2 linked regions of the Nothobranchius furzeri genome follow. The protein of the gene in region 1 purifies or fractionates together with the protein of each later gene. This does not show direct contact. Links are inferred from orthologs where the notes say so. Each region holds a gene or a part of one and is shown on either strand. Other genes may lie near its edges. The genes, in order: ddx17 and drosha.

Region 1 (4,522 bases):
AGGTCTGGCTGAGGTGAGGCTGCCATTGGTGCTTTTGTCCCCTCTGACCACCACTAACACAAGAAATCTGGGTGAAGTGTCTTGCCCACAATATTCTATTGCCCACAATCGAATACTCTAACAGGGGTTGGGATCTATCCCACCACCCTCTGATCACTGGGCAACCCGCCTCCTGAGCTACTGCTGCCCCAAATCGTCTGTATTACAATTTGATGACTAATGCATGAGCATTCAGATCCAGGAAAAATAGATAAAGATATCTACCTGAAACACCTGAGTAGACAAATCAAATAATTGTGTCATAAAGTTTGTAACCAAACAGATTGATGCGTTCTGTGATAGGTTTGTATTTACCGTCTGCTGGAGTTGTTGTTGCAAACTCTCTTTGCTGAACATACAGGAGGCACTTTGGGTCCACTTCAACCAGAGGCCTGGAGCGAAAGGTTCTAGCATGTTCCTGTAACATAAGAACACATCATGCGTTACAACAACTTAAGTGCCTCATACCTGACAGGTAAAAGTTTTTGACCAGTCTTATTTGACCCCAGAGATTCTAGACGTGGGTTTGACAAGCAGTTCTTTAGGCTTTGGGTGTTTCCCATTATAATTTCCTACCCAGTCCTTGTACCTGATATGGTGAGTTGTGTACTTATGAGGAACAGAGGAAAGTGGTTAGAACAACAGAAGAGTCAGACCTTACAAGGGAAAAAAGGGCAGGCTATATTTAGTGTTTTAGTACTTTTGTACTTCTTTCTACCTGAATACAAAGAGGAAATCATTGTTATTAGCTTGCATCATTGTTTTGCTAGTGACTTGTACTATTTAAAACTAATTAAAACGTGTTTCTTATGATTAGGCAAAACAGCGATTTCTTTCAAATGCAAAAAACTTGATGGTGTGACATTCAGAAGAGTACAGTCTAATATAAAAGACTTAAACAGCGTTAACCGACGAAGTCAGTGTTTACTTGCTAAAATTATTGAACAGCTAATAGCCACACTAACCTGTAAATGTGGATATTTGCTGAACAACTCCTCTGTCGACCTTATGCGGCCAAGTTCTCTACCCTGAATGAACAAAGGCATTTCTTTAACGAGCGTCACTTGATAATCAGCTAGTTCATGCTTTAAAAATGTCAATAACTTAAAAACGTCACGTCCAAACGCCTGTCTGTCTCATCTCGACTTGAACTTCCTGCAGCTGTTGTCTTCTTCGTTTCCTCGTGAAACGCATGGACGACTCGGTGCAATGTCGCCCCCTTCTGGTTGATATACAGACCTTTTATTTTCTTGTTTACTAGAACCAGATAAAGATGTTTTAAACGCACTATTGTCCAGTTTAGCTTTTTTTCATTTATAGGTTGCAATACACATTTTTCTACGTTTTAGTTGTTAAACAAGCTCTCGTTTTCGACGACACCATTTTTTTGTTCTAATTGCATTCACCATTGCTTTTAGTCAGGTTACGTAAGTGCTAAGGCTTTTTTAGAGACGGCACCACTCACGACGCTACGTTAACGTACTAGCAGGAACAACGTCATCGGGTTTGAGAAAAACAAGCTAGGTTAGTTCGTGACGCATATAGCTGTTGTTGGTCACAATGTTATTGTAGCGTTGTTATTGCCTAATTCGTGTATTATAGTTCACTAGGATTTAATTTTTGTGTCTTTATCTAATTTGCATTTCTTTAATTCTGAACGCAACGTCAACAAATCGACTCCAGCTAACGCGAAAAATACTACGGGTAAGAATATTTGCGTTGCCGACATGAGAGGGGGTTCATCTTATGGAGACAGGGACAGAGACCGTGGACGAGACAGGTTAGTTATTGTTGTTGGTGATTTTCAAAACGCTTGATCTATTTGCCGTGAAATCATATGATCAACTGAGAATGAGAAAATTCCCGAAACTAAACACGAAGGCGCCAAAGGGGCCTAAAGACTGTTTTCAATTCATTTGACTCCTCTGTCTCACCAATGACGAGGTTTGTTTTCCTACTCTCGAGTCGTTGTAAAACCACTAAACAACGGCATCGGTGAAATGTGAAGAAGTTGGAGCTCGGCAGCTCAGTGAATAGATAGATGTTGGACCATGGTTGGGACTGAGGCCCTCTGGACTTTGTTTACGGATTTGTTGCTTTTAATAAGCAGATGTGTTTCTGAAAAATTGTGTTCAATAAACCAGGAAATAAACTCTCAAATCTGTAGATTTTAAACTAAACTCAAGTTCTCAAAATATGGAAAAATATATTTTTCCACAGGCAGAAAACACACACACACACACACACACACACACACACACACACAGGGTTCACTCTGAACTCTGACCCATATTGCTCAGTGGTGTTGAAAAACAACCAGTTTAGAAAGACATTCTTTGTATCTGGCGCCATCTAGTGGTCACATAGCCTGTGACTAAATCACCGCTGCTGGAGAATCTTTTCCAATAACCCTTTAGGCCCTAGGCCTTTTTTCTTTGGGCCCTGGCGCCTCCCAAACAATGGGGGCCTTTGGCGTTTCATGTCCCAAGTGTGAGTGATTGTTTGCATTCCCCGAGCACAGCTACAGCTACAATCAAAATAGTTTAGATAGTAAACAAAGCAATTTTTGGTTTCTGATACATTAAGATAAAATGATACTTGAACTTTATTTTAGAAGAGCTGCCCTGTGTAAACGTGCTGACAGGATGGAGGTTGTGAGTTCAAATTCCATTTAGGAAATTTAGTCAATTGTTGTATTTATTCCAGGGGTCCTCAACTACATTTGTTCAAGGTTTTTTTTTTCCAGCAGACACCAGAGAAGGTCAGATGCTCTTCTAAAGTAAAGTTCAAACATCATTGTATCTTAATTTATTACAATTTAAAATGGCCTTTTTTCCCACCTGGGCTGTTTGATTGTGGTTTTAGTTTGGAGTATGTGGACAGTAGTAGATGATTGGGACATGAAACTGTAGAGGCCCCCGGTTGGAGGGTGTTGGGGTTAAACAGGATGAATGTTTTGAGAAATTGTGTACGGTTACTGGATATTACCGCGGATAATGCTAATAAGGTTTATCATTTGTTATTCTGTATTTTTTTGTACTAGATTTTGTAAAAAAAAAAAAAAAAACATTTTAAATTCAGTCATTTAATCAAAACTTTCAAACTATGTCACTATTATATACTGTATACAACTATATCATGTGTTTTATCATGGTTTTATATTTACTACTCATGTATTGTTTTTGTGCTTGTTTGAGTGTTTTATTTCCTTTTACTGTACAATGACCTCGAGTTTTAGAACGATGCTTCAAATAAAGCTTGTTATTATTATTATTAGTAGTAGCATTACAGGTGCAGATAAAGATAAAAACCACAGGTGAAGCCCAAGTGTGGCGTTGACATCCGTCAACCTGCTCCTCGTACTAATTCCTCTGATTCTTCTTTTACCTCTTGAAACATCTCAGGCCAAGGTTTGGAGGGGGCATGGGTGGCCGCAACGGACCACCACCCATGAAGTTTGGTAACCCCGGTGAGCGTCTTCGCAAGAAAAGATGGAACCTGGATGAGCTGCCAAAGTTTGAAAAGAACTTCTACAACGAACACCCAGAGGTCCAACGAATGAGTCAGGTATGTTTCTTCTTCTTGCATACAGTTGTTTCAGAAGAACACAACACATTTCATGTCTCTTCTTCTATTTCTTGTTGCTTTATCCCAGTATGACATTGAAGAGATTCGCAGGAAGAAGGAGGTCACCGTCAGAGGCTCAGGCTGCCCAAAGCCTTTAACTGCTTTCCACCAGGCACATTTTCCTCGTGAGGGAACACACCTAATACTGCACACACAAATAATATTTAACAAATTCATCAACAATGAATTTTCTGTAAAACATCTAAGGGCTTAACATGTTAATACCTTCAATTGATGCTGATAATCTCCTGCTTTTGCCCTATAGAGTATGTGATGGATGTTCTGATGCATCAGAACTTCAAGGAGCCCACAGCGATCCAGTCCCAGGGTTTCCCTGTGGCCTTGAGCGGCAAGGACATGGTGGGAATCGCTCAGACGGGCTCTGGAAAGACACTGGCTGTAAGAATTCATCCCTGAAAGCCTATCATCATTAACAAATGGGCAATGACAGTTTAACATGATTGTTTTTTTGTTCCTTGCAGTACCTTCTTCCAGCTATTGTTCACATTAATCACCAGCCCTATCTGGAAAGGGGGGATGGTCCTATAGTGAGTACAAACGTGACACAACCTCAGACTGGAGATTTGCATCTAAATCTTAATGCTTGTGTGCACACAAAGCTAGCTGGTCATCATTCTGTATCCCTACAGTGTCTGGTCCTCGCTCCAACTAGAGAGCTGGCCCAGCAGGTTCAGCAGGTCGCTTTCGACTACGGCAAGTCATCCCGCATCAAAAGCACCTGCGTCTATGGTGGAGCACCAAAAGGGCCCCAGATTCGTGATCTTGAGCGTGGTGGGTATGGTTTTCAGTCGTTAGAATTGCACCTCGTTTACACCGAGGCCAGGGTTGGGAACAC
Region 2 (3,816 bases), on another chromosome or scaffold:
TTAATCCTCATTGTTCCGGTCTGCAGCCACGGACCTCCCCCGCTGTTCTGCTCAGAGAAACAGACCTAAACTAGTCGTGGAAACCGTTTTAGGCACAACACCTTCAGCATTAACAGTCGACCTCAAATAATATTCATGTTTTCATCGTTTGCAACAGCAGAAATAGTGCAGTAATGGTGCTGAGATGTAGCATCGACCCTTTTGTCACAATAATATTTAGTTTTATGAAACAGGGAGGTTAAAAGGTGCTTGGTTTAACTTTAGCAACAGTGTGAAGAACAAACTTCACCTCTGAACTCTTCGCACCTACTTCAACAACCGCTGCTTTTGTGATGAAGTGGTGAAAAGTTCAGAATGGGTGCTTGAAATCCTTGATGAGGCTTGAATTTAGTCTCTGCGAAGGCGTGAGAGCCTAATGTTTGTCCTCGAAGCTCTGATGGGATGTTTGCCTCCCCTGAAGCCTGCTGGGCTCACAGACGTGAGGTCAGACGATAAGCCCGACCCTAGGACCTAGTTTTATGGAGGACCATCCCTTCAAAGGGTTCTGTCGCTCTCAGTGGAGAGTTTCCGAGTTTTGGGCTGAATTTATCGTCTGGATTTATTTAATTTAGGAGCCAAATTAGGTTTGTCACGTTAAATTCAGAATATTTAAAGCCTGAGTGGATAAAAGGTGGTTTTCTCCTATAAACTTGGGTTGTTTGAGGTTCCTAACAAAGGCAGAACCTGCCAGGGAAACTTCAAACTCCCAACTTCAAAGTGCAGAAGAGACGTAAAGGTCGCCGTGCTGCAGTCCAGACATGTGAAGCGTTCCTCGGCCTTTGTGTTACACCTGGCAGGTGAAGCGGCGCTGTCCGATTCACGCATTTTCTTTCTGTCCAGATGAATGATGGCCCCCTGTGTAAGTGCAGCGCCAAGGCCAGACGCACCGGGATCCGCCACAGCATCTACCCAGGAGAGGAGGTGGGACACGGCGTGAATAAATCACCTCCGTTCATAACCTTCAGGCTGAGCCGCGGCGGGCCAAGGACGCCCCACACACACACACACACACACACACACACACACACACCCCGTTAACTCACCGTCATGAGCTAAACGGTGTTATATCTTAATAAATAGACTCGTGTCCTTATGACTGAGAACATTTTTATGAACGACTTTGAGGTTTTATGTCCAGTAAACAAACATTCATGATTTAATCCACTCATCCATTCACAATCCTCAGAAACATTCATGTTTTCCTCTTTAGTTGGTTTTACTGGGTCCAGTAACTGATGAGGGATCTTTCTGGTGTTTTGTCCCCAGCCCGTGAGGCAGTGCCGTCCGATGAACAACAACGCTGGGAAACTGTTCCACTACAGAATCACCGTGTCTCCTCCCACCAACTTCCTGGTAGGACGCCGTTCTCAACCGAAACGAGTGGTTTGGCTGTTTTTCTGTGTTTGTGACGCGAGTCTTTCTGTAATTGACTTCCAGACGGACCGGCCGACGGTGATCGAGTACGACGACCACGAGTACCTGTTTGAAGGCTTCTCTCTCTTCTCTCACACGCCCCTCACTAGCGTGAGTCTGAAAGTTGGAACGCCGTTCCCTCCAGAACTTGCACGAGGGTCTTAAAGCTCTCATTCATGCTTATTTCCTGTAGATTAGTCTGGTTTATAGAATGAATGAGTGAATGCCTTGTGAGCTATTTTCTGCTTCCTCCGCTCTTCCTTTTTTTTTCTCTCCACAAACAAGCGTCAACATGTTTGCCACTGTGTGAGGTTGCTAATGCTAATGGCTAGCTTTCACTAACCGAGACGCGCTCTGCTCTCTCCTTCCTGTGGGCGGTCCCAAGCCGAGGTGGGCGTGGTCATGAATGCAAATTACCGCTGTGACGTGGAGGAATCGTGCCTCGTTTTCCCGTCTGTTTCCTTTCTGCGTTCTTTTAGTCTGAACGATGGCAGCATCTTCCTACGCGTCTGGTTTGTTTTCTGTCCTATTTACTTCGGCTACGGAGGTTTCACAGTCAGCGCCATTGTTTTTTACTGGTACAGACCTGGAAATGTGCACGTGACTTTAAATCTGAAAGTCACCAGATGTTCCCACTGCTTTAGTGTTTGACTTCCTGTCTGGCCCGGTCTAACCTGCTGAGCGTGGCGTGTAAAAAAATAGACTCGAGTCGTGAATTTAGCAGAAGTGACGCGTCCCTACGCTTCTGGAACGTTAAACAAATGCGCTGCTTGCACTCTTCTGCTACTACGGCGGCTGGTTGCTGCGTACCTCACTTCACGGATGTGGGAAGGCCCGGCCAGAGTGGCCGATCACATATCTAAATGAACAAGGATTACACGGTTTCTATGGAAACCAGACCTTCAAACACTCCTCAGTGTAGTTTTGACTTTGTTCAGAAACAGCTGACTATAGTAGCTGTGATTTATGGGATTTCCATCGTTAGGATTTTATGTTTTTGGTCCTTTTTTAGCCGCTCCAACGGTCCGAAGGTTCGTCACAGTGGGCGTGACCTGCCGACCGCCTTCGATGTAAAGTATGCTTCGTCTTCTCTTGTTTTAGCATAATAATGTCTTGCTTGGTGTGAATCAGCCTGACAGATGCTCTGATCCACCATCAGCCTTGTTATCTCGGCCCAAGTGTCCACCAGCTGCTCAGGCAGGTTCTCACCCACCATCACAGGCGGGCGTCCTCCTCCACGCCTCAGCCTGCTAATGTTCGTCCTTCCTGCTGGAGTTTAAGTGAAAACCTCCTTTTTCCTAAAACACAACTTCAAATCATCCCTCGGCTTCGGGTCGACTCCTTTGTAGTTTGGACAAAGTGCTTCCCTCTCACAGGGCTGGCCTCGGTGTCCGTCAGCCATTGAAGAGGTTGCGATTTAACAGGAAGCCAGACGAAAACCCGACGGGGGTTTGCCAGGTTGGAGAAAACGTTCCCAACCTGCGGTGATTCGTGCTCCAGTCCGTTTAAATAATGTGATCAATATCTGCGCTGCAGCCCGGCGGATCAGGCCTGATTTACACCAGATAATTTCCACGGTGCTTTTTACAAGCCGGGGCAATCGTTTGGCGACAGAACGGGGATTAGAAACCTGAGAGCATGGCCATATTAGCTCCCTGCTAGTTAGCCGCTGAGATGGGCAGGAAGGAGCGTTGCTCCAGGTTAATCTCTCCGAATGAACCCCTGTGCTCCGACAACAAAGACCGTGTAACCGGGGAGATTAAACACAGACGAGCCGGCTTATCCTTTTAGCCAGATTTGAGTTGCTTAATTTCCAGGGCGCTCGTGTGTGTGTGTGTGCGTGTGTGTGGGGAGGCGCGCGCTCCATGGGAGGGTGGGTTTGTGGTATTATCAGAGGTTTTACATGTTTTTACACAATTTAGCATATAGTTTCCATACATGCACGTGGTTTCTGCAGAGAAAATGAGGTTTTAATGAGTTTCCTTGAGAAGCTGTAACCTCTGCCTGTCGCTGTGGTAATGAGACGCTCTGTCCTTTTCTTCTCCTCGTCCTCTGCTCCTTTCATCATCACAGATTCCATTGTGCCGAGTGATCCGCTTCAACATAGATTACACCATTCACTTCATAGAGGAGATGGCGCCGGAGGTCAGTCCAACAGCACTTTATCTCCCCGCTCTTTCTCACCCTCGTTGTTTTTATCTCAAACGGCTGAGTCTGAGCACAGCTGAGCTCGTGTAGCTCTCACGCCGCCGCGTTTGGGTGAGCCAAGGTGCTAATCCTGTTAGAAGCTTGGCTCTGGCCTACCCAAGTTGGCCGTATCAGTAAGATGGTTGATGTGATGAAGTCAGAAAGTTGGATGTGCTG

Evidence for each region.
Region 2: the proteins of ddx17 (region 1) and drosha purify together in Homo sapiens (co-immunoprecipitation; 3 studies listed by IntAct, with this or other methods). This does not show direct contact. The link is inferred for Nothobranchius furzeri from reciprocal best matches to the Homo sapiens genes DDX17 and DROSHA.

What each region holds. Positions count from the first base shown.
Region 1 is NC_091746.1:24,951,104-24,955,625, forward strand, and holds the start of ddx17 (probable ATP-dependent RNA helicase DDX17), read left to right. Parts: upstream 1-1,566; 5' UTR 1,567-1,766; coding exon 1,767-1,819; intron 1,820-3,443; coding exon 3,444-3,606; intron 3,607-3,694; coding exon 3,695-3,791; intron 3,792-3,931; coding exon 3,932-4,065; intron 4,066-4,148; coding exon 4,149-4,214; intron 4,215-4,316; coding exon 4,317-4,458; intron 4,459-4,522. Other genes in the region: ntan1 (protein N-terminal asparagine amidohydrolase), read right to left, coding at 355-457, 1,005-1,085. UniProt on the Homo sapiens protein: As an RNA helicase, unwinds RNA and alters RNA structures through ATP binding and hydrolysis.
Region 2 is NC_091747.1:62,198,073-62,201,888, reverse strand, and holds part of drosha (ribonuclease 3), read left to right. Parts: intron 1-879; coding exon 880-960; intron 961-1,305; coding exon 1,306-1,392; intron 1,393-1,476; coding exon 1,477-1,563; intron 1,564-3,525; coding exon 3,526-3,597; intron 3,598-3,816. UniProt on the Homo sapiens protein: Ribonuclease III double-stranded (ds) RNA-specific endoribonuclease that is involved in the initial step of microRNA (miRNA) biogenesis.